Linked DNA regions of Struthio camelus. The protein of the gene in region 1 purifies or fractionates together with the protein of each later gene. This does not show direct contact. Links are inferred from orthologs where the notes say so. Each region holds a gene or a part of one and is shown in the gene's direction. Other genes may lie near its edges.

Region 1 (7,036 bases):
TATGAAGCTGCTGCTTTTTGTAATCAAAAAGGAATTACTGTATTTATTCACACAAAGGTCACCCTGCCATCGGGACAGTCAAAAGCACTTAAAATGAATTGTCTTTTCCCAAACTGACAACAGGCACTTTCTTCAGATAAAAACATTTCTTTGCTGTTCTGGAGGTTTTGTAACTCCATTTTCCTGCAAGTACAGTTTTAAGTCATGCCTTTTCACACTGCATAAATTGTGATACTGCCCAAGGCTATTAAAGAGAAAACATGAGCAACGTGGGTCTGTGGTACCCAAATTATATGAGCTTAGCTTCTGCTGTAGGCTTTGCATACAGTTCCCCAAGCAAGGGAGAACTTGGGGTTCACCGAGGATGTAAAATACTCTGCATATGTCAATGCTGTAACCTAAACCGATGCCAAATTTTAAAAAGGGGACTTCAAAAACTAGAAGGATGAGTCAGTACGCTCTGAGCTGACGTGCTACTCTGAGGCTGAGAGCTGTAACAAGCCCATATCCTCTGCGGATTAGGTACAAAGCAGACTGAGCAACGTACCCGGGCCGCCAGGTTATACATGCATGCATCAAAGGCTAATGAATATTGTAACAAATCCCTGGTCACCCAGGACCTTCGGAGCTGTCGATATGCTGTATGCATTAGTGGCTCAGAACTTCATGGGAACAACAGAGATAAAAACTCAGTCCTGCACTTCAAAAACATGGGTGTCTACCGCTTGGAGAATTTCACACTATTTCTGCCCAAAGCACGGAGTACAAAACGGAGTGCATTTCTGATTCCATCCTGCTGGATACAGCACGCCGCACCTCACACAATGCTTTCAGATTTGCAAACAAATCTCCAGTAGCTCTGCCTCTCGTTTGCTCTTGCTCATTCACAGAGAACAACACATAATAGCCTCACTTAAAATATAGTAGAGGAGTTCGACACAAATGAATGACTCATCTGTCATGCTATAAGGATTTTGATTTTTGCAGGGAAAAAATGGCTTCAAATATTTTGAGACGTGTAAAATGGTGCTTCATATTCAAAGACCGTTCATAAGAAATCTAGACGATTGATAGAGGGTTTGAGAGACCTGTTTTGTCCTGGAATCACAATACCACAAGAATATGAAGAAATGAAAGGTTACTGGAAAAGGAACCTATGAGTTACCTCAGATTAGAGCCCATTGGCATGAAACTAGTACACAACTGTAATTTGTATTGTTCTAAAAAGGATAACTGTTTGAATAATGTTAATGACAACTTTGATTCCACTCCTGTAATTACTGGGGGGAGATGGGACTGCATTTCCTAGGAAGAAAAATCTTTTATCTGTTTGTTTAACATACAGTCTTTGATGAGTTGGAGCATCTTTCCCTTGAGTTATTTTCCTGAGCATTTTTGTTTTGAAAAATAACTGAATTTTCAGGCTGAAAGCAGAGTTGCCATAGAGCTGTCAGAGCTGCGAGAGGTGTCTGATTGTCATTTCAGATGACCCTGGTGTCTTCTCTAAACCGAGCATCTTTCCCTACTTGCCTCCTCACTCTGCTCCATCTCAGAAGCAGGAATATTTTCAGGGCTAGAGTCTACTCTCACCTACCCCCCCCCCCTCAACCAGTAAATCATAGAGATTTCTGCTCTCATCAGTGGCATGTCTTCAGATTTAGCAGACAGTATAATCCAGTCCGTGAGACAGCTGATTGTTATCTATAACCTCCCCATCCACTTCAAGCGATGGGAGATGTAATCCAAAAATTTCCTTCCGACTTTTTTACAGCTGAAATACATCAAATCCTGTGGCAGCCTTTTTACGATCTCCACTTCTCTAAATAAACATCACAGCGCCTGTACTACATTTACTGCCAAACGCTTCTGCCTTCAGGTTTGGACATGCTGAGGCAGGCATGCTGTGTTAGCTGATGTCCAAACGTACAGGACAGACGTAAGCCACGTGTCTCCGTGCAAGGCTGCGGTCCTGCACCGAGACACCATCAGGTCACGGGGTGCATCCAGGCTGTGGCCGCGGACCCAGAGCTCCTACTCGCCAAGGAACACATTGTGAATTATTAGACTCAGCTCCCAAAAATTAAAGGGTTGGTGCTAGCACGCTCCTTAACATCAAAGGTACCAGGCAACCAACACGTGAAGAGGTGGCATCCAAAACAAAGTTGTAAGAGAAGTTTGCTGGAGAAATGGGTTGCAAAAATGGATGAGATGAGTCACTACACCAGCAGAACAGGAAGGAAGTTGTGACGAAGGACCTCAAACAAAGCCCCGCAAAGCAGCAGCACAAAAGCTGGACAAGTGTTGACAGATGCACAGCAGTGTATTTAGAAGGAATCACTTGAAGTACGTTCCTGGACTGTAAATTAACTGAAACTGTTCAGAAAAAAAGACCTGAGTGACACTGAAGGCCATGCAATTAAACGCAGGGCTCAAAAGCACAGCAACGATCAACACGGCAAATTGAAAATAACACCCAAAATAGCAAGATAATGGATGTACTATGCCATTATATTAATTAATAGCTCTCCCATATTGGTTTATTCCGGTCTTTCACAAAGACAAATATACTCATTCTTCGATGCATATTTGTATTTGTAAAACTCAGAACAACTGCCCAGCTTTCTTTTGTTGGAAAGAGCTGATGAATGTTAAAGAGAAAGTGAAAAAAGAAGGTATAAACCTGATGGGGCTAAATGAAGTGGGAGTTATGGGCCACGCTCACAAAGAGACTTCCTTGCTGGGGCTTTGAATTTCAGAAACACTTAAGCACTTTCAATTCATTTTCAGACCTGGAAATGAGGGTGCTCCACCTATATGAGAATTACTTACTTAAATGCAGTTTTATCACTGTCCTAAAAGTGATTGTGGCTCTGTGTTTCAATCATTTTAACCTATGGAGCTTAACTGTGTAATAAAGATGCCTGGATTTTGATAATTCTTCCTTCTCCTTTCCCACCGCAGGCAGGTTTTGCCCTTCGTTATACATTTTTGTGAACTCTATTAGAATATAAATCTTTACATATGTTCTTCAAGCTCACTTTGACCTACATTTTGGATGTATGGCATTTTTTTTTCCTAGTTCGTTTTTTTGTGCACCCCAGTTCGTTACACTTTTGCACGGTGTACCCTCACTCTTCTTAGTTTATTGCCTGGTTTATATGTACTGAGCATCCAGAGAGGCCTCGGGAACCTGATTTATCAGAAGGTATATGGAAATTGTGGTACCTGCTTGTGTTTTGGAAGTCACCCGAAAATTGGGAGTCAACTGAAATTATGCCAAAGGAAATTTGGCGTAAGGATTTCTTCGTGAGCGTCCAGAGCCCAGCCTGGTAGCCTAAAGGGAGAACTGCCAAGCTCGGATTCCAAAATCGTGATTCAGGATGAATCAATCATTTGAAGTTTTTTATAACAACTCAATTCAGTTGCTTCCCAGTTTTAATCACATGACTATTTTGCCTTTTTTTTTTTTTCCTCAAGTAAAAGCGCTTACTTTTAAAAAACGAAACCTAAACAGGTCACGCAGTCTCTCAACGCCAATATGAGCAAACTTTATATAAAATCTCCCTCCTTCCTTCCTATAAACACCAGAAAATTATGGACAAAACTCTACACTACGCAGCGCTAATAAGAAATCCAGGATCCAGGACGCTTTTATTTAATCTTATTTTCGCACCAGCTGGGGAAGACGGGGCCTTCCCAGGAGCGGGCCGTTGGCCGGGTACGCGGGGCGTCGAGCGCGGTTAGGGAAGGCGGCCCCAGCCCCTCGCAGGCCGTCGGGAAGGAGGGTCAAGTCCCAGCTGCGGCCATCTGCCCGCGGGGCGCTGCCCCTTCCCGCCCCGTTCGCCTCTCGCTCCCCCCCCCCCAACCCACGCAGCAACCTTATTTCCTCGGGATTATTAAGTAAAAGCAGAGGGGCTCAGGCTCCGGCCGGCCCCCTCAGCAAGAGCAGGGCGGCGGTTCCCCAGGCCGCCGGAGCCGCCCCCGAGCGGGAGGAGCCGCGGCGCCGCCCTCCTCCTCCTCCTCCTCCTCCTCCTCCCCCCCTGCGAGGGCGGCGGCGGCGCTAGGCGAGGGCGGGGATCGGCCGCGGCCTGCTGGCGGCGCGGGCCCGGCGGCCGCCATGGCGGGCGAGGTGAAGGCCAAGCTGTCCAAGAACCTGCTGCGCATGAAGGTGAGGCGGCGGCGGCCCTCGGAGGGGACGGGGCGGGTGGGCGCGGGGGTTGCGCTGGGCCCCGGCGGCGGCGGCTGAGAGCCGGTCGGGACCGGAGCCGGGGCCGCCCTCCGCGGCCGGAGGGATCAGCGGCTGCCGCTAGGCCGGGCTGCCCCCGCTTTGTGTATTTCCACCCCCCCCCCCCAAAAAAAAAAATCCCCCCAAAATTTTTAAAAAAGATCCCCTCCGGCCATGCTGCCCCCCCCCCCCCCGCAGCCCCCCGTGTGTTTGAAACCCTGGTGAGAGGGCTCGGGGGGTTGGGGCAGGAGAGGAGCTTCCCGATGGCAGCGGAGATCTGCCTCCGGCAAGAGGGCAGCCCCGAAAAACGCTGGAGCGTCTCTTCTCGCCCTCCGGTTTCTCTGCGAGCAGGTCGTTTGTCGTGAATAAAAACGATTAGACTTCTTCCCTTCCCTTTCTATTATGTTAATACTGCTTGCCTTATTTCAGGGAGCTTTTACCCTTGATACTTCTGTGCTTGGTTGTGTGTGTGTGTGTGTGTGTGTGTTCTGGTTTTTTTTTTTTTTTCGGTCAGTTTGCATTGAACGTGGGGTTTTAACCACCTTTCCCTTCCCTTCTGCCAACCCATGAACGCCAAGGCCATCAGTAAAATAAAATAGTGAGCTACCCGTTACCCTTGGAGTTGTGACCCTCGTGTCAAGGCTGATGTGAAGCGAGTCTCCGCTTGCCGGCCCGTGGCTTCTGGTTCACATCGTGTAACGCAGCCCCTAATTCAGCAGAGTGCATCCCGCTGTGATTGATGGCCCTCTTTTTCTGGAAAACAACCAGTACAAGTTGCTATTAATTGGGGTTTTTTTGTTTTTTTTTTAAGTTCATTAAACATTTGTAAGTGGCTGAGCCCTTGTGGCTTCTTGATTGTGGTGTTTTACCTAAGCGTGTTTTTTTTCCCCACATGTATATTTGAGAGCATAGTTCCCATTTTTCGCAAGATGCCAGCGGAAAGGAGTTTATCTTCCATGTAAAATGGACTCTGCTACAGAGGGATGGTGGAATATTAACAGATTCTGCTAGCGAAAGACTAAAATTGGTGCGCAGAGGGAACCAGACATAACGTTCCTTATTTTTCAAAGCGAGTAGATGATGCACTTAGTTAGCCAGCAGCGCGTGGCAGAGGAGGACTCCTTTTGCCTGGATTGCATTTGATACTTTCTTTTTAAGTGAAATTCCTGCTACTGGTTTTGCCAGTTTATTAAGCCTCGGGAGATTTTGGCAGCCAGTTTTCAGATGCCTCTCTTGAAAGGCTGTGGAGAACAGGCATGCGAGTGCAGCGCCATGACAATTGCTGGTTTAGTATGAGCAGTAGGTCCGCTTTGAAGAGATGAATAGGCTTTGCAAAGGCCATACATAACCCATTTTTATTTAGCATTTTCCTTCTACAGATCTCCTTGTTTACCAGTATTTTAATTAATCGTGTAAGAGTTGCCTCTGCAGGTATTGTCACCATTCTAAGGGCAGGTTCCCAGTGAACTGGGCCCAGAAGGTGGTGTGGTCAGTGGCAGTGCTGTTGAAGCCCCTTGCATTAATTGCCGGACTCCACGACTTGCCTCGTGGTGTCACAGCGTGGCTCACGCTTCTGATTCTTGCACCGTTTGATCCAGGTTCCATTATTCGGGTAAACTGATCCAGGAAACACTCAGCTAATGACTTGCGTGTTCTGTGTCTACCACAATTGGTATCTTTTAATTCATTCATGCGTGTTTACATTGTAGATAAATATGATCACATTTTTTTATCTAGTTATTCCCTGTGGTAATCTGTAGGAACATAATCTTTAAAATGTAGTGTAAAATGATTATTTAATTGGGTGCGTGTAACAAAATTTCTCCTGTTGAGACTTCTGACTGGCTAACCAATTTCCATGAGCGGTATGGTTTTCCACATGATAGATTCCCATATTTTCCTCAAGTAGATACTGCAATTTTAATTGGAAAGCTTTGACATGTTTTGGGCCGACTCAGAAAACAAAAATCAATTTTTCTTTCATTAACTTGTACACGTGGATGCAAATAGAAATATAAATGGGAAAGGAGACACTGGCACTGTATTGGCTTTTACTTCAGGATTTTTTGTTTCATGTTGCTGTGGGCATTTTGTAAAGTCTGAAAGGGGGGGGGGTATATATTTTTTCTTTTTTTAATAAGCTCAGTGACACGGGAGCTGTGTGTGAGAGGCGTTTAGGGATGCCTTCCTGGGCCTTACCCCCAAGCCAAGGCTATTCTAGCTGGGACCAAAAGTATGTCAGAGCCTCTGCTACCACTCAAGGTACAGATGTGCCCCACTGGCTTGTTAACAGTCAGCCTGCAGGCTTATCTAAACACAGGAGTGGTGCTGCTTTAAATGAGAGGGGTAGAATTAGTTGATATGAGATTCCTGTGCAGCGGTGCACATGCCGTTATACAGGTATGCTTTGATGGCCACATAGCAATTTTTGTACAGGTATGTGTATAAAATTTACTGATAGACTAGCCTCTTGCTGGGAATTGTGTTGCTATAAATGTGTAGCCCAGACAGATAAGGTTATTCAAAGGCTTTCTGTAGACTCAAAGGGAGGTCCCAGCTCCTAGGGATGTGAGAATATAAGGGTTATTACTGTAAAGCTGTGAAGAGTTCTCCTTTCTCTAGCGTGTTTGGTGAAATGGGTTAACATTGTTGATGCTTAAATTGGCAGTCAGCTCAGGCACTTGAGCTGATGCAAATGGAAATAGAAGGGGTGTTTCACGTATCTCAGATGTGTAGGTTTGCTCTCTCAGCAGTCTGTCATGGGCTGTGAGAGATGCCCTCTCCTACTCCCAGCTGTGAAGGAGGTTACAG
Region 2 (7,959 bases), on another chromosome or scaffold:
GAAACGGAGGTCCTTCTCATTTCTGAATTACGTTCCTAACACTAGGGACCCGCAAGGGAAAAATACATCTTTTTTTTAATAAAGTGATTATGTTAGTGTTGCCCGGAGCAGCTGCTCCCCTGCGCGAGAGCGTTCGTCTTCCCCACTGTGGCCGCTTCTCACGGGAGGCTGCGAATAGCGTTTCCTGGCCCCTCACTCCAGCCGCCCCGACGCCTTTGATGGTGCAGGAAAGTAACAGAAACAACAGAAATACGATCAGCTCACAAACATGGGAGCAGCAGCGGTGCAAAAGGCTTTCCCTGACCCTGCTGATGCGTTTGAGCTGTTGCAGGAGCCTGCGCTTGGGTGCAGGCAGCGTCGCCCGCCTCGCCCCGCGTCTCCCGCAGCCGCCGAGCTCTCCTCCGCCCGCCCTGGGCTCACCCAGCCCTTTGCTGATGCAGCCGCGCTTCCACCCGAATGCAGGCACAACCTAGCTAAAACGATCCCTAGCAGGGTCGGGTGGGAGATGCTGCCCACGTCCTACAGCAAGCGGGTGCCAACTGCTCCTTTCGGGGCTGAAACGCTCCGCCGAGGCACCGAGTCGGGTTTCTGGGTCGTGGCTCCCTGCGTCGGTCTCTGTTGCTGCCGTCTCTCACTTGTCCCTCGCGGGGCTGCGTATTCCTCCGTGTCTCTGTGCGCACTGCCACGTCCTCGTCTCTCCAAGCAGCAGGGACCTCTCGGTCCTTTGCTCCGGTGACCCCGGCTCTGCCTGCGCGGTCTGTAGCTGCCCCTCCACCAGCCGCAGCGTTTGCCACCCAGGACGGGGGTGACCGAGGGGCAGGTTTGTGCCGGTGGTTTGCCTGTGTCATTGCCTTCAGGGCTCAGGGGGTGCTCGGGCACCTCTGGCAGGTCCCAGACACCAACAGACCTTGCGGGAGGCGAGGTGCGGTGAGCGTGGGTGCAAAGGGACGGGGCAAGGGTGCGTGGGGAGCCGTTCGCCGTCCCGCTGACGCTCCCATCTCTGTATCCCTCTCTCTAGATGATTCCTCCGGACCAAGAGCTGCTGGTCTGGTACGGAAACTCCCACAACACCTTCCTGGGCATCCCAGGCGTGCCGGGGCTGGAAGAGGAGCAGAAGAAGAACAAGCACGGTAGGTAACATCAGAAATGGCCACGGGTGCAGCTTCTGTGCCCATCCTCTGCCCCCGGCTCCCTTCGTCCCCGGGAGCAGGGGTGGGCATGGGGCAGGGACATCCCAGGGGACGCACGAGACCCTCCGGCTCCGTAGGGACGAACGCAGGGACCATCCAGCAGCAGAGCCCAGCCCCTGCGAAGGATCCATAAAGATTGGGCAGGTGCCTAGTAATTTGAGGGGCTCCGTGTGAACCGATTAGCCCAGGGCAACTAGTGGTCCGGTGGCCAGCAGCCCGCTGCCCCAGCCCGTGGGGAGCATATCTGTGCGGCAGGGACGGTTTCGGGGAGAGGAGCAGGGCAGGCGTGCAAACAGGAAGGAAGGAGCCCCAAGGCACCGGGAAACGCCAGGCGGACAAAGTCACCGATTTCCCTGCTCGGCACTCAACGCCGCAACCCCTTTTTCCCCCGAATCGCCCCGGCAGGAGGCCTTTCTCTCCCCGGGACCCTCTGGCTGGGGCGGCTCCCCGACGTGCCCCTGGGCGGGCGGGCGCAGAGCTCCCAGGGCGCTGCGGGGGACGCTGCTTTCGGAGCCGGGCCCCCTCCGCCCGCGGCCCTCCTCCCCGCTCGGCGCGAGCCCTGGCCAGAGCCCGGCAGAGCAGGGCAGAGAGCCGGGGGCGAAGCGGGCGCCAGCTCTCCCGGGGCGGGAGAAGAAAGAGTCTTTGGGAGCTGAGCAGCCCCGACTGCGGCTCCCGCGCTCGTCTGCCCCGGCTCTGCACGGAGAGGGAGGCGAACGGCGCCGCGGGCGCCCCTTCCGTGCGAGACAGGGGTCAGGCTGAGCAATCCCCTTCCCCAAATTTAAGGAGATCGTTCCCAGCTCTGGCCACATCCCAAAGCGGTAAATATCAGCCTGGAGTCGCGGGCGGGGGTCTCCGTTCATGGGGCCGCTGTGGCCGTCCCCAGCGGGCAGGTGGAGCGAGGGAGGAGGCGCGGGGTGGTTATTTCGGGCTCGGGAAGGGAGTGAACAGCCGGGGCGGAGGGCAGCACCTGACGGTCCCCGTCCGGCGCTCTGTCGTCCCCAGAGGACTTCCACGCGGTGGAGGCGGGCGCCAGCACGACGGGGCGCATGCGCTGCGTGATCTGCCACCGCGGCTTCAACTCCCGCAGCAACCTGCGCTCCCACATGCGCATCCACACCCTGGACAAGCCCTTCGTGTGCCGCTTCTGCAACCGCCGCTTCAGCCAGTCCTCCACCCTCCGCAACCACGTCCGCTTGCACACCGGCGAGCGCCCCTACAAGTGCCAGGTTTGCCAAAGTGCCTACTCCCAGCTCGCCGGGCTCCGGGCCCACCAGAAAAGCGCCCGCCACCGGCCCCCCAACGCCTCGCTGCAGGCCCACTCGCCAGCCCTGCCCGTGCCCCATCCCGCCTCCCTGGCCCACCACATCCCCACCATGGTGCTGTGAGCCGCCGGCGCAGCGGCGGGTTTGCGGACAGCCGGTGGCAAGGGGCCAAGCCCGGCGCTGAGACGCGCGGTGCGATGGGGGGTGTCGACCCTTGGCGGAGCTGGGGGGCAGAGGCAGGGCTGCTTTGGGTGCCGAACGGGCGCATTGGTTTATTTTTGGAGCAGCGCCGTCCGCGCAGGGTTTGGGGGGGCCGTTCGGTGAGCGAGAGATCCCCCCACCCGGCTCTGCAGGGTGCAGCCGCACCGGGCTTGGTGCTCCCCAGGGAGCAGGGCAGCGGGATGTCCCTTGTCCCTGGGAGCGGGCGAAGGGATCGTGCCTCCGAGGGGCAGAAAACAGCAGGATGTCTCCTGTGGATTGGCCAGTGCACTGGGGGAGGGCTGGGGCGGCCCAAAAGCTGAGCTGGGGTGAGTCACACCTGGGTTTCACAGTTGACTTGACAGAAAGAAAAATTGCTCTTATCCCTTCTCCTCCCTTGCTCCAGCGAGTGCCCAGCAGCGCCGCGTCCCCCCCTTTAGCGGCTGGCACAGCTCCATACAGGCCATTGCGTTGGTGCCCGTCTACCCCCGGGGGGGCAGCTGTGCCCCGGGGGGCTCTTCCCAAGGGAGAGATGGCCAAGCCCCAGCGCGGCCTCCGCGGGAGCCCTCCTTTAGCAGTCGGTCGCCTTGTCCCCGCCAGCCGCGCTCGGCCTCCTCGCCTGCCGCCCGCGCGCCGGGCGTCCCCGACGCCTCTGGACGGCGGCGTTGGAGGCAGAGGCCGTGGGGACATCCCCGGCTGGACGTGCCAGCTGGGAATGCCCCATCCGCGGGCAGGTCTTGGGGGGTCTCTCTGCGCTCTGCCAGGCTGTGCCTGCTCCAGCCCGGGGACCATCGCTCCCTGCAGCCTTTCGGGAACATTTAAATTTACTTCTACCGCCCTCTGGGGACAGAGAAAGCCCGTCCCTGGGCCAGCTCTGTCCCCAAGGACAACTCTAAGCGCCCTCTGGAGTCCTGCCACAAGCGAGAGCAGGGCTTTGTATCATAAAGTTTAAAAGAAGGTATTCTAATATTAATTATAAGTCTAAGATGTATAAAGTTCTCACAAACTGTGTTTTACTTCCAGAAAAGAAAACAATTGTCACTTTAACTTTGTAAATATTTATGTAAAACATTATTTACAAAACTTTGATATTATATATTATTTGATCGTATATGTACACAGTGTAAATACGTTTGTACCTCTCTCTTGTATTCTAAATAAAAATAACTTGGAACATTTATCATTTAGAAGACGGATGGTTTGGGGAGCTTTGTTTTGCTCTGTGGTCAGGGCGCGTGACGGTTTGGACGCGTACAAGGCGAATAAGGGGGCGTAGTTTCATCTACTAGAGCAAGCAGTGCTGCTGGGGAAGAGGAAAGAGAGCTTTGGGATGCAGAAACCCTTTTGCAGGTCTGCAAGAGAAGCGGCAACTTCAGCCTAAATCCAGACGGATGGCACTATTTGGTCCAGTATCTTCTCGTTTTATTTGAAGCAACAACTGTTGATGTCTTCCCTGAAATAATGGCCATGTTTCCTCTGTGCCGGGCTACAGATATAAGTCTTGCTCGAAAGAATAACGTTTGATCTTGGCCCAGAGGAAGAGACGCAGTCCTAAAGGTCATCACGGGCTTCTTTTCCCTTGGTATTTTCCCAGCAGCTCCGAGGGTCTAACCAATGAAGTGAATAAAACTTCCACGCAAGCAGGTGATTGACCGTTGCCGCAGCTTTGCCAAACTCCTCACCCCTCCAGGCCAGCCCGGGGGGGCTGGAGGAGCCCTTGTCGCCTGGTGGAAGATCACCGGGCCCGAGGGCGACTTCGGCAATGAGAGGCGCCGACTGTTTGGTTTTCTTTTTTAAAAATCTATGAGATGTGATTTTTTTTTTTTGGAGTAATGTTATGCAACCCTCCCCTGTCGCACGTACAACCCGGCAGCGAGATGGGGGCAACTCAGCCCCTCAGCAGGGCCCTTCGGCTCGGGGGGCCGGGGCCGCCGGCGGGAGGAGAGGTCTGCGGCCACCCCAGCTGGGGGCTGGCGGCCCCACGCTCAGCCCTTGACCCCACAGCTCTCCCCGAGGACAGCTCCTGCTGCGGGGTGGGGGCGCCCGGCTGCGGGGCAGCCTTCCCCGCTCAGCCCCACAGCCTGCCCCTTAAGGTGGAGGAGGCGGGCAGCCACCTTTCCCGCACCAAACATGGCCCCCCTTCTCTCCCTTTGGATCCCAACGCGGTGAAGCCCACGCCGTCTTTTTCTGCCAGCAACCAAAATGGCCGCCCAACACGAAGCCGCTACTGCCGCCGACGGCCGCCCGCGGCCCTCAGCCAAGATGGCGGCGCCCTGGCCTCACGCGCGCTCTTGCCAGCAACCAGCATGGCGGGCGGAAGGCGCGTGTGGGAAGCGGGCGCCGGCGCGGCGCGGCGTTGCCCGCAGCCAACATGGCGGCGATAGCGATGCGGCTGCCGGTGGCCCGCAAGGCGGTGAGGCAGAGCGCGGCGCGGGGCGGCGAGAAGCACCTGGTGGCGCCGGGGGACATCATCACCACGGACACGGGCTACATGAGGTGGGGGCAGCCGGCCGGGCCGGGCGGGGGCTGTCGGCCCCGCTCGCTGAGGGCAGCGGCGCTCCGGGGGCTCTGGCGGCTGACTCCCCCCCGGCTGAGGGCCGCTCTCTCCGCAGGGGCCACGGCACCTACGTGGGCGAGGAGAAGCTCATCGCCTCGGTGGCCGGAGCCGTGGAGAGGGTGAACAAGCTGGTGTACGTCAAAGCGCTGAAGACCAGGTGCGAGCGGCCGGCGGGCCTCGTCGCGCGCGTGGCCCCCAAGGCGCCGCCAAGACAGGATTGCCCTAACGCGCGCTCTCTTGCTCCCAGGTACAACGGTGAAGTTGGCGACATCGTGGTGGGGAGGATCACTGAGGTAAAGCTCACAGAGGGTCCCGGCTGCTCTTCCCCGTTAGTGACTCCGGTTTTTCCTGACGCGCTGTTAAGTGGGAATTAAGTCTTGGCTCATATTTGAAGGGCAAGAGTGCTGCTGATGAGGAGGACGGTCCACCAGACTGAGGTATCTCTGTCTGTTCCAGAGCGTTTCTGAGGCTCCTAAAAGCACATTAGTATTTGTGCTTTTCAGCACTTGCCATCGTGCATTAGGACAACTAAGTGCTTTGCAGGGTTGGAGTTGGCGCGTCTGAGCTCTTCCCGTCTGCGGGATGCTGGAAAAGACTAAGAACTGAGGAGAAAATACATGGTTTTAATTACGGACCATTAACCAATTAAATGTTAATATTATTAACATTTGGGATTTTAAAAAAGATGAGGCTAAAAGTAGGCTACAGTGCTGTCTCAGCTCTCGCCTCTCTCTGTGTCAGTGCTTGTACAGTGTGAGCTCGCTGATACGAGCACCCATCGTGGGATGGGCCGTTCAGTTCAATCACCGTGCGTGGCTTGTTGGTCTGCAGCTTGCCTCGTGCTGGGCTGCTGGCTTGAGTGGCAGCAGGACCTCCCTCTCTGGTGAAGAGCTTTTGTTCATTTTGTGAGCATATATCAACAGAGTTTTTTCTTTTGCAGGTTCAGCAGAAACGATGGAAAGTGGAAACCAACTCCAGGCTAGATTCAGTCTTGTTGCTGTCATCTATGAATTTACCTGGTGGGGAACTGGTGAGTGCAATTGATGTAGAGCAGTGCCAGAGCCTCTCTTGTTCTGCTTTTACAGCAGAAGCTGAGGGCTGTGCACCGAGAAGCTGGGAGGCTCTGGAGCCCTTCCCACGGTTAGCACAGGGGTAGTATTGGTGTTTCTGCCTGTAGGTGCATCGGTAGTGCTCTGGTATCTTTATTTAACTCTTAGTGTTATTTGGACAGTGACCTAAATACCAGAACCTCGTTTTTCTTTGCTGCCAAGATTGTGTTTTGCGTGCCATCCTAAGGAGGTGGTCCCCTCGGTGTGGGAATCACTTGACGTTTTTCCATCCTGGGCCACGTGTAATTTTTCTCCCATTCTGCTTTTCAGAGAAGGAGATCTGCAGAAGATGAGCTTGCAATGAGGGACTATTTGCAGGAAGGAGACCTCATCAGCGTATCCTTCCACTGCTTGCATTCAGGCAGAAGACCCAAGGGGCATGGGTGAGAATGGCTAGACCTTAGCTAGCCAGACTGATAATGAGAGTTCTCTGCCTTTGGGCAGTGAGCAGCCAACTCCTGTTGGCACTGAGTAGCATTAGGGAGCTTGTTTCCTTAAGTGGCATTGACAGGCAGAAGTCCAGTCTGTATTTTCTGATGGGGCTGTGTCACTGCACACCCGAAGTCTGAAATACGGGAAGGTAAGTTGCTCAAAAGCACTTAGTTTTGGCTTAATTCTGCTCCAGTTGACTTGTAAGGGAGTGTCTACGCTGCTGCTGAGTATGGTTTAGACTTCCAAACCTGCAATGGATTGGAGCTTGAAGCAGATCAGAGCTCTTTCTGGGATGTCATCTCCCTGCTGCAAGAAATGGGATGTGAGAAGGGCAGGGAGGAGAGAGAAGGTCCCTTTGGAGAGTGCTCTGATGAAGGATAATACGTAGCCCGTCAGACAGTTCCTCCTAGGTTGGTGGTCCTGCGGCTGAAGGCCAGGCCCTTCCTAAATACAGCACAACTCCACCCAAGTCAGTAGAATTTCTTTGGCTTTATATCAGAGTAGCAGCAGGATTAGGCCTTTTGTGAGAGGTTGCTCTGTGTGTGTGTGTTTGTGTGTGTGTGTGTGTGTGTGTGTTTTGTTTTGTTTTTTTTAAGAGAAAAAGCTCTGGGGTAAAGCAGGGTGTTGTTAGAACCCATCCCTACAAGTTAGGAAGGATCGTAGCCCCCACATGGGAAAACAGATTGGAGTTCCCCAGTGCAAAGGGAATACCCTTGAGCTGCCCTTTGAACCACAGCCCTCCTTGTCCACAACTACAGGCTGCGAGTCCTGTTTCCCCCACTAACCCTTTGGGAATTGAACCCTGAGGAGAAAAAACTTCTGGCTCAAACTTGCTAACTCCTCTTCTGCAGGCCATTGCCTTTATAACTTGTTTCTCTCCCCAGGGCTCTATTTTAGGCTTTATGCAGTTGGCATTTATCTCTGGTTTTGCGCATTGTAATAAGCCAAGGGGCCGTTGGAGCGTAGGCTGCAGTTTGGGATTACCGGACCAAAGGTATTAGCGCTTAAAAGATGAAAGCGAAATGTGCTTATTGCACAAAGGGTGAAGGACAGCTATTGGATTAAAAGGGAAAGCGTTCTGCTAAATTGGGCCTCTCACTCTTCATTTTTCTGCAGGGATGGTTGATGTGTAGTTACGATCAAGATATTATTAACATTTGTGCTAAGAACTCAGAGTATTCTTCATCTTCAAAGGGCTGCACAGACATTAG
Region 3 (7,649 bases), on another chromosome or scaffold:
TTTATCTTTTCTGAATCTGGAGCAAAGGAAAACATGCTACAGAGTTCTGGTGTCCACCAGGCATCCCTTCCTGGCACACAGTCAGAGGGAGAGCACGTAAAAGACCAGAATTTTGCCTCCTCCATTCGTATGCTTTCTCAAAGCTTAAGGTTTCCTAAAAGGTCATACTGTTTTTAAAAATTACTTTTGAGAAGTACTCCAGAAATATTCAGAAGTTGTTGTTTAACAACAGATTTACAATTAAAATACAACTCACTGTCCATTTCAACTAAAGCAGCCAGAGCATAGCATCCTAGTTTCAGCACAGCTTACTCCCAGCCTTGAAGTGCATCACTGTCCTCCGATCCCATTGCAAAGCCGCAGTGAAACCTCAGGTGACATGCAGAGCCACCTTTGAAGTCAGCACTTCTGTTTAGCTGTCTGGCTGCTCCCTTCGATACCGCACCAATAACCGCGTTTCATCGCTACAGCTCACTAGCGGATCGTAAGACCCCGATGAAACTGCTGAGGCCTCAGAATTTAAATTTCCTGCCGAAGAGACATTACGCAGCCCCGAACGCTAGCCTTTAGTAACGCAAGCACTGAAGCGGACCTAAACAACATACTGAAGCTAACGTTCTTTAAAACAAAACGCTGCAAGCCAGTGCAATGCAGACAGGAGCCCAGCGAGTGGGCACAGCGCAGGATTTCTCCTGAGCAAGGCGAGCGTGAAACCGCCCGACGCGTTCCCATCTCGCGACCGAGGCGAACGGCTCCAGTAAACAACCTCTCGGGACGCCACCCGCGCCGAGCCCTCGCCCCTGCCCCTGCCCCTGCCCCTGGCGCAGCGCGGGCACAGGGCGGCCCCCGGCTGGCCCTGCCGGCCTGCCCGGGCCCCACCGCGGCAACGGGCGGCCCCCCCCTCGGCGGCGGGGCCTCACACACGCCCCCCCACCAGCCCACACCCGCCCACGCGGGCGCGGCCCCCGCTGCCACTCCCCACCACCTACCCCACAGGCCGCCGCCGCCGCCGGTCCGGCGCGCGCCCCGCCGCCCCCACGCCGCGCGCGCCCGAGCGCACGCCGCCAACGCCGCGCGGGCCAACGCGCCCCCGGCGCGACGCCCCATCGGCCGCCAGGAGCCGGCGGCGCGCTGCCCCCCCCCCCCCCGACCCGGCGCGGCGCTGCCCTCCCCCGCCGCCCCTTACGCTGGCTCGGCGAGGAGGTGGGGCGGGCGGCCGGGAGGAACCAGGAAGTGAGCGGCGCCGCCCGGCAGGGCGCAGCCCCCTCCCCCCCGCCGGGCGCCCCGGCCCACGCGCGGGCCCCGGCCGCCGGGCTCGGCCCCTCCGCCCGCTGCTGGCCCGGGCGGGCGGCCCTGGGGAGGGAAAAATGCGGGGCTCGTGAGGAAAAAAACAGGTTTTAGCAAGGGGGGAAAAAAGACCGTCTATATAAGAAGTATGTTTGTTAGAAGGAAAAATACGTTTTTCAGAAGGAAAATGCAGGTCTTGGAAGACAAATACATTTTGTATACGGAATAAAAAATGGTTTGTGTAAGGAAAAAAACCCCACTTCTTGTATAATAAAAAAGTACTGAAAAATGAAGGGCACCAACGTACACAGCAGCCAGAACAAGGCTCCTGCTTCTGCCTTGCGCACCCTCCCACCAGCCTTGTGGGCTTGTAAGGCTTCAGGATAGGGGCTGCCCTCTGATCCCGCAATACCGGGCACGTCAGGAGTCATGCTGGACATACAAGAGTGGGGGTGCTAACGTTTCTTCGTCATATGCTTCTGTGCGATATCCACTGTCTGTATGCTGAAGGGTAAGCATGTATATACATGCATATGTATGTCACAACTGATGCACTTCCATGTTCACTCTTGAGCACAAGACAGATGGTTTGCAAATGTCCAAAACACTGAAACATCAAACAGGACAGAGCATATAACTGCAGGTGTAATCACTCCCAGGCACCTGCTTGTTATAGATAGGGCAGTTGTTAAGTTTGCTTGACACTCTCCATTTTAAGCCACTGTTTCCGATGTTTACAACTTCACCAAGCATTAATCATGCAGTGTGAATTTTTACATTCCAGGTGGTTCCCTCAGGCAGATTTAATTTTTCCATTTCAGCCAACACATGTCATCCATTTACCATAATGAGGTTAGAGAAAAAGACATTGCTTTGCCCTTGTTAACAAATCTGGCAGCCTTTTTCTCTGATATACCTTCGTTGTTGCTTTGCCTTGGATAAGGGTATTCAAGTGTACTAGGATGTGGCCTTCATGTCAAGCAGATGCCTTTTGCCATCCCTGAGAAAAACAAACCAGATACAGACTTACGCCTCTGGAAAATTGCTGTTCTCATGTGAACAAGGAAGATTTGCTAGCTAGGCATCTGAACTATGCAAGTATTTGACTCACTTTAGGCAGACTCCAAGCTGGGATGGCAGAGGGGAAGAAAAAGCAGTTTCCTTGCTACTGCAGTCAGCTGCTGTGGATGAAGCCAAGAGAAAGACAGAGCTAGGAGCCAGCATACAGTCTTCCCTGTGCTCCCAACAGAAAGCACAGGATGCATCTGCGTTAGCCCTTTAGTTCAGAACAGGAATTCACTTTTTGAAGGGACTCTCTCAATCACTTCCCCTTACTGTAGTGTGGTTTACACTGTCAAGTACTACAATGTAAGAAATGCACTGCTGGGTGACACAAAAGGTCCATCTGTGTTGGACAGCAGCATTAGCAGATGCTATTTAGGAAGAGCACGTGAGCCTGGCCCCTTTTCTTCAGGGTCATTCCCTTTCCCTCCTACTCCCCAGCCTCACAGCTGTTGGCAGGGACCAGCCCCAGGAGGAGGCCTGGCCCTGCTCATCTCCTCAGGGTCAGGGGGAGGGTGCTCAGGAACAGGGCAATGTACCCACAACACCGCCTACTGCCACAGGCCTACTGCTGCCTCTTTCCTCCCTGTCTTGCCCCCCTCCTGCTATTTTGCTAAAAATGAAAAGACTGGGTGCCTGCTCGCCATCCTGGAGGAGCTTGTGGCCCTGGGTCCAAGCAAGGAGAGGATGAGCCCCGACAGGCAGGCCCTGAGTAAAGCACAGAGGCAACCCTGGCGCTCCCTCCTCTCCCTGCTTCCCAAGAGCCCCTGCCCTGGGATGGCTGACTCACCCCCCTGTCCCTGTCTGCCAGGACCCAACTTCCTGGGCCAGCATCCATGGGGCCCTGGAGCCCCACAACCTTAGAGACTAATGAAGATCTTCCAGACGCAAGGCTGCCAGTGCCAAATTTGCCATGGTGCCCGGGGCCCCCTGACATGGGGCTCCCCCATCCCTCATGCCCCCGTCTTCCAACCCCCATGCATGCAGAGCAATGATGCACTACACCCACCCAGCAGCCTCCAAACTTCCCTGAGTGAGACCCCACTGCTGACCCTTTCTGCTCAAAAGTGATCAGTAATCCCAACTAAATAACCGTGGCATGCAGGAACGTGATTCTTTCTGGATGCAGATAAGCAATGGGAAGCATTCTAGAAATGTACCTACTATGCTAAATGAACGTTCAGCCCACTAAAGGGACCAGACCAGAGCTAATCCAAAGTAAAATTCCCAAAATGTGCTTCACTACAGGATAGCTGCCATTGCATGCTTCAGATTGCCTGCTGAAGTAGGCACAGCCAGAAACGCTTCGCACATCTGACTGACCAAGGAGTTTAGGGAAAGAGCACAGGAAACTTCTACAGAAGCTCTGGCTTTGTAGCGTGTCATGCAAGTCACTAGTCATCCTTGTAAGCCACGGGTCTTTTTTACCCAGCTATCTGTCAACATGAAGATATTGACAGATATGTCAATGTGAAGATATTTAATATTGCCAGATAGCAATATTAAAAATAATTCAAAAACTATACACAAGAGCTGTGCTAAGAACATGCAACTTACAACATTAACCACTTGTTGTTATGAAACACTCAATTAGGGCTGTCAAAACCCCTTAATTTAATTATTGGGTTAATATATAGTATGGGTTTTTAATTGCATTTCCCATACTACTTTCCCAGGGATATATGGCACAGAACCAAGAGCACTCTCCTAATGAGAACGCCTTGTTTTTTCCCCGCTCCTGCACCAACCTGCCCAGCATGCTGCAGCTCACGCAGACCCTTCTCCGAGGTAAAAAAACCTGTTTATTTTCTCATTCTTCTTAGGGTACTTATCACTGTGCAGGCCCTTCCCAAACGCTCGTGTATTTTCACAGCTTCTATGAGTAACTTTTACCTTGGCAAAGGGCAGGCAGAGAACGATGAACAACCCCCTTGGCCTATGACGAATTTGAGCTTCTCGGACGGGAAATTTTCCGGCGCACTGGCTGCTCAGCAGGCACCGTGTCCAGAGCAGTGCCCGCGACTGCCCAGGTGGGGCTGGAGCTCACTGCACCCCAACGAGACAGGCGCCTAAAGCCGGGAGAAACGCCCCCCATCGCCTGTCCCCCAGGAAAAGCTTCCGAGGAAAAAATAACGACTGCGCTCCCGACCTTGCCTGCAGGCAAGCGGGGCGAGGGGGAGGCAGGCGGGGCGGCGCAAAGTCCCCGCCATCAGGGGCGCGCACGGCCTGCCACGGGGCCACGACGGCGGCCCAGCCGCCCCAACGGCCGGGGCGCGCGCCGAAGGCAGTGCGCAGGCGCGGCGCCCGCCTCCCCGCTCCGACGGCGGCCGCGCTCCCCGGCGTCACGTGGGAGCGGAGCGGAGCGGCGCGCGCGCTCCCTCGCTTCCGCCCGCAACGGCCGCGGCGGAAGCGGAAGCGCGCGGCGTCCGCGGCGGCGGGAGCGATGGCGTCGGTGGTGCTGAGCGAGGCGGAGAAGCTGTACATCGTGCACGGCGTTCAGGTAGCGGCGGCGGGGAGGGTGGCCGGTGGTAGCGCTGCCCGGTGAGGGGCGAGGGCAGGACCGTCCGTCCCCCCCCACTCCAGGCCTGGTCTGCGTGAGCGGGCGTGCGGGGCGCTCCGGGACAGCGGCAGGCTGTAGGTGTCCTGCCTTGTTTCTCCCTTCCCTTTTTCTCCGGGGGGTGGTTTGTTTATGCTGGGAAAGAAAGCCTGGGTAGAGATGGGGCTACGTTGTCGAGGGGCTTTTTATTGTTATGACTTATGTGTGATAGTCTGCTTAAGGAAACTGTGCAGGTGTTACTGAAAATACAAATTTTCAGCAGAGTGTACTGCAGTAATCATCCTGACAGGTGTGCTCACTGTGGAATGCAAGCTGGGGAATGCTTATTATGCATGAAAGCCTCACTAGTATAATCTGATGTTTCAGGCTCTTTATTGTTTACTTCTGTGATATCAACAATGTTTTCAGCCCTGTAGCTCACTAATCATTTGTGGGGAAATGAGTTACAGTGTAGATTTTGTGGGTGGGGGGAAGCTTTCCATTATCTTGGGTCTAGGAGAGAAAGCTCTGGGATAATCACCCATTTGTGTCACTCTACCAGAGCTGTCACTAAACATACGGAGAGCAGACCATCAGAGCAGGGAGAAGATTGGCAGCAGGACATGGTTGTCTGGCAAAACTCAAAAAGAAGAAGGAAGTGTACAGAATGTGGAAAAGGGGACAGGCCACTTGGGAGGAATACAGGGACGTTGTCAGAGTGTGCAGGGATGCGACAAGGAAGGCTAAGGCCCAGTTGGAATTAAATCTGGCAAGGGATGTCAAGGACAACAAGAAGGGCTTCTTCAAATACATCAATAGCAAAAGGAAGACTAGGGAAAACATGGGCCCGCTGCTGAATGGGGCGGGTGCCCTGGTGACGAAGGATACAGAGAAGGCAGAGTTGCTGAATGCCTTCTTTGCTTCAGTCTTCACTGCTAAGGCCAGTCCTCGGGAATTCCAGACCCTGGGGACAAGAGAGGAAGGCTGGAGAAAGGAAGACTCTCCCTTGGTTGAGGAGAATCGGGTTAGAGATCTTTTGTCCAAACTTGACATCCATAAATCCATGGATCCCGATGGGATACGTCCACGAGTGCTGAGGGAGCTGGCGGATGTTATCGCTAGGCCACTCTCCATCCTCTTGGAAAGGTCCTGGAGATCAGGAGAGGTGCCTGAGGACTGGAAGAAAGCCAATGTCACGCCAGTCTTCAAAAAGGGCAAGAAGGAGGACCCAGGGAACTACAGATGAGTCAGCCTCACCTCCATCCCTGGAAAGGTGATGGAACAGCTCATCCTGGAGGTCCTCACTAAGCATGTGGAGGACAGGAAGGTGATCAGGGGTAGTCAGCATGGATTCACCCAAGGGAAATCATGCTTGACCAATCTGATAGCCTTCTATGACGGAATGACTGGCTGGGTAGATGAGGGCAGAGCAGTGGATGTTGTCTCCCTGGACTTGAGCAAGGCTTTTGACACTGTCTCCCATCACATCCTCCTAGGTAAGCTCAGGAAGTGTGGGCGAGATGAGTGGACAGTGAGGTGGATTGAGAACTGGCTGGATGGCCGAGCTCAGAGGGTTGTGGTGAATGGCGCAGAGTCAAGTTGGAGGCCTGTGGCTAGTGGTGTCCCCCAGGGGTCAGTCCTGGGTCCAGTCTTGTTCAATGTATTCCTCAATGACCTGGAGGAAGGGACAGAGTGCACCCTCAGCAAGTTTGCTGATGATACTAAACTGGGAGGAGAGGCTAACACACCAGAGGGCTGTGTTGCCATTCAGAGGGACCTGGACAGGCTGGAGAGGTGGGCAGAGAGGAACCTCATGAAGTTCAACAAAGGCAAGTGCAAGGTCCTGCACCTGGGGAGGAATAACCCCATGCACCAGGACAGGCTGGGGGCTGACCCTGCTGGAAAGTAGCTCTGCCGAGAAGGACCTGGGGGTCCTGGTGGACAACAAGTTGACCATGAGCCAGCAGTGTGCCCTTGTGGCCAAGAAGGCCAACGGTATGCTGGGGTGCATTAGGCAGAGCGTTGCCAGCAGGTCGAGGGAGGTGATCCTGCCCCTCTCCTCAGCCCTGGGGAGGCCCCACCTGGAGAACTGTGTCCAGTTCTGGGCTGCTCAGTACAAGAGAGACATGGAGCTACTGGAGGGAGTCCAACAAAGGGCTACAAAGATGATGAGGGGTCTGGGGCATCTCTCCTCTGAAGAAAGGCTGAGAGAGCTGGGCCTGTTCAGCCTGGAGAAGAGAAGACTGAGAGGTGATCTGATCAATGTGTACAAGTATCTGAAGGGAGAGTGTCAAGAGGATGGGGCCAGTCTCTTCTCCGTGGTGCCCAGCGATAGGACAAGAGGCAACGGGCACAGACTGAAACACAGGAAGGTCCATCTGGACATGAGGAAAAACTTCTTGACTGGGAGGGTGACAGAGCGCTGGACCTGGTTGCCCAGAGAGGCTGTGGAGTCTCCTTCCCTGGAGATATTCAAAACCCGCCTGGACACAATCCTGGGCAATGTGCTCTAGAGGACCCTGCTTGAGCAGGGGGGTTGGACTAGATGATCTCCAGAAGTTCCTTCCAACCTCAACCATTCTGTGATTCTGTGGTTCTGTACTTTTTTTCTCGTCCTCTCCCCCCTCTTCCCTTGCTCTTTCCCAAGTTTTTGCAGTCGTATAGCGCTTTAGCCTGTTACTAAGCTGGAGAGTAGTGCGTGGAGCAGGGAGGAAGAGTGAAAGACACGTGGGGAGAAGTGCCAAGAGAAAAAGGATTATACCTT
Region 4 (6,699 bases), on another chromosome or scaffold:
AAGCAACAAGCAGTTCATATAGCGAAAACCTGAGGATTTTGTGATGTAATGAAGGCTTATCTTGACAAAAGTCAACAGCAAGTAAACCTTGGGGAAGGAAAGGTCCCTTGGAGCGCCGGGCGAGTGGACTGTGTCGGACTCAGGCTACCTACCTCCAAGGGGTGGAAATTTATTGTGACCGCAGTTGAAGCGTCGGGCGGTTTGGGTAATGTTTACCCCCACACACACACCATCGCCATCCAGATTGGGGATTGCAACAGGATTAAGCCAATGCTATAGTACACGCCCGATGCCACAAGAGATACAGCAAGATAATTGGTCACATTTTAAAAAGAAAATAGCACAAGAGTGGTGTCTCAAGCATGGAGGTAAGTGGACTTTCCACTGACCCTATCGACCTCAGAGTAATGGTATAGTAGAAAGATGGAACGGGTTGTTTAAACAACAACTCAGATGGTGTAAGAGTGGCTCTAATTGGGGAAGAAACTTAGGGGAAAAACTTAGGTGCCTTGAGCACCTCAGCGAGGCATCCCGGAGAGAGGTGAGAATTCAGCACCGTGGCTGGGAAACGCGGGGCTACTCTGCAGCGCTTTCAAGGGAAAGTAGATCTACGGGAGTGAGACGAGTCACTACTGAGGCTGGGATGGGAGCCAAGACCTATGTCGTCTTGTTCCCCCCCAGGAGCTGCCGACCTCCCGGACAAAGGAACGGGAACCGTCGTTCAACCTGTCTACGACGGAAAGCGTCTGCGTAGCAAGTACGTGAACTGTCGCGTAGGGATGACGTCTAGAAGGGAAGCCACGGCCTAGCCTTGCAGCTACTGAATTATCCCGTTTTGCTACTTGCTGTGCCATTAACTTTGATTTTGCTGTGTCATCGCCACAGAGGATGTCACTAATATCTAAGAGGACCCCTCGTGTATCCGACAGTTCTGATCCTTACTTTAGGAAATCCAGGATATAGCGCATAAACGTGGATGCACTCTGCAATAATCCAGCAAACACACACATGCTGGTGACTTCTTCTGTGACATGGGGTATGAGGCCCAACATATCTACAACCCACCAGTGCAGTAGTAAAAAAGAAGGTTAAAACCACCTGACCAACCTTACCGTCCACTTAATTGTTAGTAGTCCCTATCCAAGGACCTGGACTCGGTCCGGAGAAACGGCTACATTATAGAGGGAGACAACGTCCCCAGTGTGACCACGATACTACTGAAGGAAGGGTCTATTACATTTGCCCTCTTGCACAACTGTACCCATGCAAAAATATCAGAGAATGCCATCAAAGGGTGGCAAGGCCTGCAGGGAACAGAGCCGCTAGGACTCGTTACGTGTGCCACTTACCGGTCAAGCTCGCGGCTCGTGTGCCACGGAGGGCAGCAATAGCAATTGCCCAAGAAGTTCCCAAAAGATTAGCGTTTTTTTTTGCCGCCCCTGAAGTACGGGAATTTTACATTAAGAGTTGATGAGACACTGTTAATATTAGTAAGGTATATTTAAATCGCTCACAATGGACAATACCCATATGTGAGCAATGATATGAGTCCTGTTGGAAAACTCGCACAGTTAAGGATCTTTCCAGTGGTTTGGGAGCTGCTGGATTGGGCACAGGAGTGTTGAATTCCATGGACTTAGAGATTGTTAATAATAAAATGCCTAAACTAGGACAATTAAGCAAACAAGTTATAATTGGCCAGACCACGGATACAGTCAGTGGAACGGACACAACCACTAAAACACTGGCTATTGGTCTAAGTCCCTGGAAAAAGCTCCAACAGATTTTGAAGGAGACGTGTACCACCGTTCCCTGTTTCGTCTCCAACACCAGCCATGCCACTGCTTGTGTTACCACGCAAACCTTCGTTATAAATGAACACGAACAATAAGCCAATTGGAGCCACAGAGGAAATCCTGCTGTGTGAGGGACCCCATCACCGTACTGGTGTCAGGACCGGAGACACCAATTTACCAAAACTGAATACTCAGGGGTAGGAAGCAAGAGATGTCTGCTGAGACGTCTGGATCCATTTATTACCGCACTGTGAGTAAGGAAATCAAAGAAAGACCAATTTACCAATATACCTCACTGCCCGTTACCGTAGCTAAGAGTGTATGGGCTCCAGTTCAAGGAAGCAAATAGACTACAAACGTAATCTAATCGATACTCGCGGATGTGAACAATGGGGAAAACATGACCTGTACCGCCCTGAACGTTCGGTATCGCAAGAGCTTTGTTCGAGTAAAACCTCCTCGGGTACCTGCTGTTTAGACTCCTGCGTATGATGACGGCACTGTTGTACTTAAGGGAAAACCGGGTTTTGCTCTGCGATGGTCTATGCAATAATGGGAATATAAATAATAAATAAATAAATGAATGAATAGAACCATCGCTCCTGCCCGAGATCGCCGATGCAACGTTACGGCACTGGAAAGCTGTGAACGACTTTGTGGAAAGCGTAAAGCTGACCTCACACCGATGCTGGCGGAGTACTGGCCTACGACGGGGCAGGACCCGTAGGACCGCTATGGGACTCGGCGTGTTCTCAGATTGAGAACTGGAAACTCTCATCACCAAACATGAGGGAGCTGCTGCTTATCAAAGAAGGGGTGACTCTTGCTATCAAACATGATGCTGGCTGGATTGTGAGGACTGAAACAGAAATCAAACTGCTGGGCGTCACTGGTAGCATATTTCCATGGGATGCGCACCATTTCCACGGGATGGCAGATTGCATCTTACGTTACATCCTACGATCATGGTATTGTTCTGCATTTTATTATTATGTCGTTATGTTCGTATAGCCGAGTCTGTCACTCACCTCACCGTGTTGAAGGCAGGTATGATCAGCTGGTACCTGGTAACAAACCGTGAAGTTACGTTTAGGCGAAAGCGCTCAAACCTTTCCCCTAGCCTGACCCCAGCAAGGCGTGAGGAGTAACAGCACCTCCGCTCGCCGAGGCGGCGGGTTTGCGAGTCCTTTGGTCTGTCCCAAGCCGGGGGAGCGACTCCTGCTCCGCTTTGGGACGAACGCGGGGCTCGTGCCGAGGCCGGGTGCCCGCGGGGCGCACCGAGAGCAACGCGGGCGCCAGGCGCTCAAGGACGTAAGGAGCCGGGTCTGCTCTCCCGGCGGCGGCGGCTTTATAAGTAACCGCCTGTTAACACCTGATAAGACCGAAACTCTTTGGAAGTAAGCGTATCTTGGCGGAGCGCCCGAAACGAGCGAGAGGTGCAGGGCGCAGGGCCGAGCCGGAAGGCACGGCCCCGTCGGCCGAGCAGGAGGGGCGAGCGCTCCCGCCGTCGGCCCGCTCTCTGTTCTGCTCGTCAGCGCACGAAGTAGCGAATTAGCGAGTTGTGAGATTAGGCTGGTCTGTAGCAGAGGGATTAAGCGCTTGTTTGATTTCTACTCAACGAGCTCCCGCAGCGCAGCGCGGCTCACGCACTACCGTCGTCCCGCGAGCGGAGCGATCACGGGGCGGGGAGCGACGGAGAAATGAGGCAACCGGGGGAAAAAACACCAAAAAAACACCAAAAAAAGGAAGAAATGGCCCCGCTCCACCCCCAAGGGAGCAATCCCCAGGGCCAGAAGCCTCAAGGGTCGGCACTAGCAGGAGGCGGGGGCGGCCGGGGGCTCCGGGCAGACCGGGCACCGGGCGGGCCGCAGGGACGGGCGCGGCGCCGCCCCGCGGGGGGAACCGGGCCGGGCCGGGCCGGCCGCCCTCTCCGACCAGGCCGCGCCGCCATGGCAACGCGGGGGCGGGGCATGCCGGGAGCGGCGGCCGCGCCGCGGTGCGCGCTGGGAGCTGTAGTTCTGGCGGCGGAGGCGGCGCGCTGCTGGCCGGGCGGCCGCGCGGGGGCCGCCGGGAGGTGTAGTCCGCGCCGGGCGGGCGCGCGGGGGCCGCCGGGAGCGGAAGTCCGCGCCGGGCGGGCGCGGTCGCGGGGGCCGCCGGGAGCGGCATGGCGGCGCTGGAGCTGCTGTCGGACGAGGGCTACCGGGCCGACGGGCGCCGCGCCGCCGAGCTGCGCAAGGTGCGCGCCCGCATGGGCGTCTTCGCGCAGGCCGACGGCTCGGCCTACATCGAGCAGGGCAACACCAAGGCGCTGGCCGTGGTGTACGGCCCCCACGAGGTGAGCGCCCGCCCGGGCCGCCGTCCCTCTGGGCCTGCCGCGACCCCTGGCCGGGTGTCCCCGCCGTCCCCTCTGTCCCCTCCATCCCGGCAGGCCCGGGCGGGTGGACTGTCCCCGCTGTCCCCGCTGTCCCCTCCATCCCCCCGGACCGGCAGGCCCAGGCAGGTGGACCGTCCCCGCTGTCCCCTCCATCCCGGCAGGCCCAGGCAGGTGGACTGTCCCCTCTGTCCCCTCCATCCCGGCAGGCCCAGGCAGGTGGACCGTCCCCACTGTCCCCTCTGTCCTCTCCATCCCGGCAGGCCCAGGCAGGTGGACTGTCCCTGCTGTCCCCTCTGTCCCCTCCATCCCCGTGGACCGTCCCTGGTATCCCCGCCGTCCCCTCTGTCCCCTCCATCCCGGCAGGCCCAGGCAGGTGGACTGTCCCCTCTGTCCCCTCCATCCCCCCGGACCGGCAGGCCCAGGCAGGTGGACCGTCCCCACTGTCCTCTCTGTCCCCTCCATCCCGGCAGGCCCAGGCAGGTGGACCGTCCCCGCTGTCCCCTCTGTCCCCTCCATCCCCGTGGACCGTCCCTGCTATCCCCGCCGTCCCCTCTGTCCCCTCCATCCCGGCAGGCCCAGGCAGGTGGACTGTCCCCGCTGTCCCCTCCATCCCCCCGGACCGGCAGGCCCAGGCAGGTGGACTGTCCCCACTGTCCCCTCTGTCCCCTCCATCCTGGCAGGCCCAGGCAGGTGGACCGTCCCCACTGTCCCCTCTGTCCCCTCCATCCCGGCAGGCCCAGGCAGGTGGACCGTCCCCGCTGTCCCCTCCATCCCCTCTTTCCCCTCCATCCCCCCGGACCGGCAGGCCCAGGCAGGTGGACTCTTCCTGCTGTGCCCTCTGTCCCCTCCATCATCTCCGTCCCCCTAGGGCCAGCAGGCCCAAGTGGCCAGGTTTGTCCTCTCTGTCCCCTCCTGTCTCCCCTCCGGGCCCAAGAGGGAGCCAGGCAGCTTGCTTTCCCCCACCCACATCCTACCCGCGGTCCCAAGCATCCCCTGTTCCCCCCCCGCCCCGCCCCAGCCAGAAGGGACCCAGGTGTCTGGGCCCCCTGGGGCTGGAGCCCACCCTGGCCCCTTTGCAGATGCGCGGCTCCCGCAGCAAGGCCCTGCACGACCGGGCGCTGGTGAACTGCCAGTACAGCATGGCCACCTTCAGCACCAGCGAGCGCAAGCGCCGGCCCCACGGCGACCGCAAGTCCAGCGAGATGACGCTGCACCTCAAGCAGACGTTCGAGGCCGCCATCCTCACGCAGCTCTACCCCCGCTCCCAGATCGACATCTACGTCCAGGCGAGCCCCGGGGCCGGCGGGGGAGGGACAGCCCCTCGGTGGGGGACAGGGGTGGACGGGGAGGGGACGGTCCGTCTGCGGGGCGGGCTGTGCCCTGCTCGCTCCGGGCCTCGGCCCCAGGGGTGCCGGGGGCTGGCTCCAGCGCTGAGCCTGCCCTGCCGCTCCCCCAGATCCTGCAGGCGGACGGGGGCAACTACTGCGCCTGCGTGAACGCCGCAACGCTGGCCGTCATCGACGCCGGCATCCCCATGCGGGACTACGTGTGCGCTAGCTCGGCCGGCTTCGTGGAGGACACCCCGCTGGCCGACCTCAGCTACATAGAGGAGGCGTCCGGGGGGCCGCAGGTGGCCCTGGCCCTGCTGCCCACGTCGGAGCAGATTGCCCTGCTGGAGATGAACTCGCGCCTGCACGAGGACCACCTGGAGGAGGTCATTGAGGCGGCCAGCAAGGCCTGCAAGGCCGTGCACGCCATCCTGGACCAGGTGGTGCGGGACCACGTGCAGGAGGTCACCGCGCTGCTGGGGGACTGAACCGGGCCGCCCCGGCCGCGCGTCCCCTCGGCGCCCTCGCGCTCCGGCTGCGCGGCGCGGCCGGGAGCGCCGCCACGGGCGGCTTTGCTGACGGTGTCGGTGGAGCCGGGGTCCGCGGGCCGCGGCTCGGCCCGGTGCCGGCAGGTCCCGCCCTGCGGAGTCCGTCCTCAATAAAGGGCTGCTCGGCCGCGGTCGGCGTCTCTTCCCTCGAGGGCGCTGGGGCGATGCTTGCGAGGCCCCTGGCGGGGGACCCCTCCTCCCTCGGCCGCGTCCCGCCATCCCGGACGGAGCCTGCCCGGCCCGGCCCGGCCCTGCCGGCGCCTGTTTCCCCTTCCCTGCTACCGTGGGAGCCCGGGTCCCGCCAGTCTGCGGACCGAGGCCTCGGGGAGGGACGCCCAGCGGCCCTGGGCACGGCAGGGCCCTGCGCTCGGCCGCCGCTCGCTCGTCTTGGGGGGGCAATCCCCGGGAACGCCGCAGCCCCACGGCCCGGCACGGCTGTGTGGTTCTGCGAGCCGTTGCTCGCACCCACCCCCAACACTGCACGGCCTGGCCGGGGGGGTGGGGGGTGTTGCTTCCCCCTTGCCCCCTTGCACAGCCTGGCCGGGGGGGCCATTGCTCTCCCCCTTGCAGGGCCTGGCCGGAGGGGGCTGCTGCACATGCACTCCCCCTTGCAGGGTTTGGCCGGGGGGGGGGCCGTTGCTCCCCCTTGCAGG

The links.
Region 2: the proteins of MPHOSPH6 (region 1) and EXOSC2 purify together in Homo sapiens (affinity purification with mass spectrometry; 8 studies listed by BioGRID and IntAct, with this or other methods). This does not show direct contact. The link is inferred for Struthio camelus from reciprocal best matches to the Homo sapiens genes MPHOSPH6 and EXOSC2.
Region 3: the proteins of MPHOSPH6 (region 1) and EXOSC7 purify together in Homo sapiens (affinity purification with mass spectrometry; 4 studies listed by BioGRID and IntAct, counting the BioPlex papers as one, with this or other methods). This does not show direct contact. The link is inferred for Struthio camelus from reciprocal best matches to the Homo sapiens genes MPHOSPH6 and EXOSC7.
Region 4: the proteins of MPHOSPH6 (region 1) and EXOSC4 purify together in Homo sapiens (affinity purification with mass spectrometry; 7 studies listed by BioGRID and IntAct, with this or other methods). This does not show direct contact. The link is inferred for Struthio camelus from reciprocal best matches to the Homo sapiens genes MPHOSPH6 and EXOSC4.

Annotation. Positions count from the first base shown.
Region 1 is NC_090951.1:5,796,020-5,803,055, forward strand, and holds the start of MPHOSPH6 (M-phase phosphoprotein 6), read left to right. Parts: upstream 1-4,019; 5' UTR 4,020-4,117; coding exon 4,118-4,168; intron 4,169-7,036. UniProt on the Homo sapiens protein: RNA-binding protein that associates with the RNA exosome complex. Involved in the 3'-processing of the 7S pre-RNA to the mature 5.8S rRNA and play a role in recruiting the RNA exosome complex to pre-rRNA; this function may include C1D.
Region 2 is NC_090961.1:6,313,800-6,321,758, reverse strand, and holds the start of EXOSC2 (exosome complex component RRP4), read left to right. Parts: upstream 1-4,959; 5' UTR 4,960-5,021; coding exon 5,022-5,146; intron 5,147-5,262; coding exon 5,263-5,364; intron 5,365-5,454; coding exon 5,455-5,500; intron 5,501-6,147; coding exon 6,148-6,237; intron 6,238-6,586; coding exon 6,587-6,652; intron 6,653-6,827; coding exon 6,828-6,896; intron 6,897-7,959. Other genes in the region: PRDM12 (PR domain zinc finger protein 12), read left to right, coding at 1,019-1,130, 2,193-2,575. UniProt on the Homo sapiens protein: Non-catalytic component of the RNA exosome complex which has 3'->5' exoribonuclease activity and participates in a multitude of cellular RNA processing and degradation events.
Region 3 is NC_090943.1:50,965,421-50,973,069, reverse strand, and holds the start of EXOSC7 (exosome complex component RRP42), read left to right. Parts: upstream 1-4,641; 5' UTR 4,642-4,792; coding exon 4,793-4,849; intron 4,850-7,649. UniProt on the Homo sapiens protein: Non-catalytic component of the RNA exosome complex which has 3'->5' exoribonuclease activity and participates in a multitude of cellular RNA processing and degradation events.
Region 4 is NC_090943.1:173,041,274-173,047,972, reverse strand, and holds EXOSC4 (exosome complex component RRP41), read left to right. Parts: upstream 1-3,904; 5' UTR 3,905-3,960; coding exon 3,961-4,131; intron 4,132-5,249; coding exon 5,250-5,456; intron 5,457-5,626; coding exon 5,627-5,986; 3' UTR 5,987-6,196; downstream 6,197-6,699. UniProt on the Homo sapiens protein: Non-catalytic component of the RNA exosome complex which has 3'->5' exoribonuclease activity and participates in a multitude of cellular RNA processing and degradation events.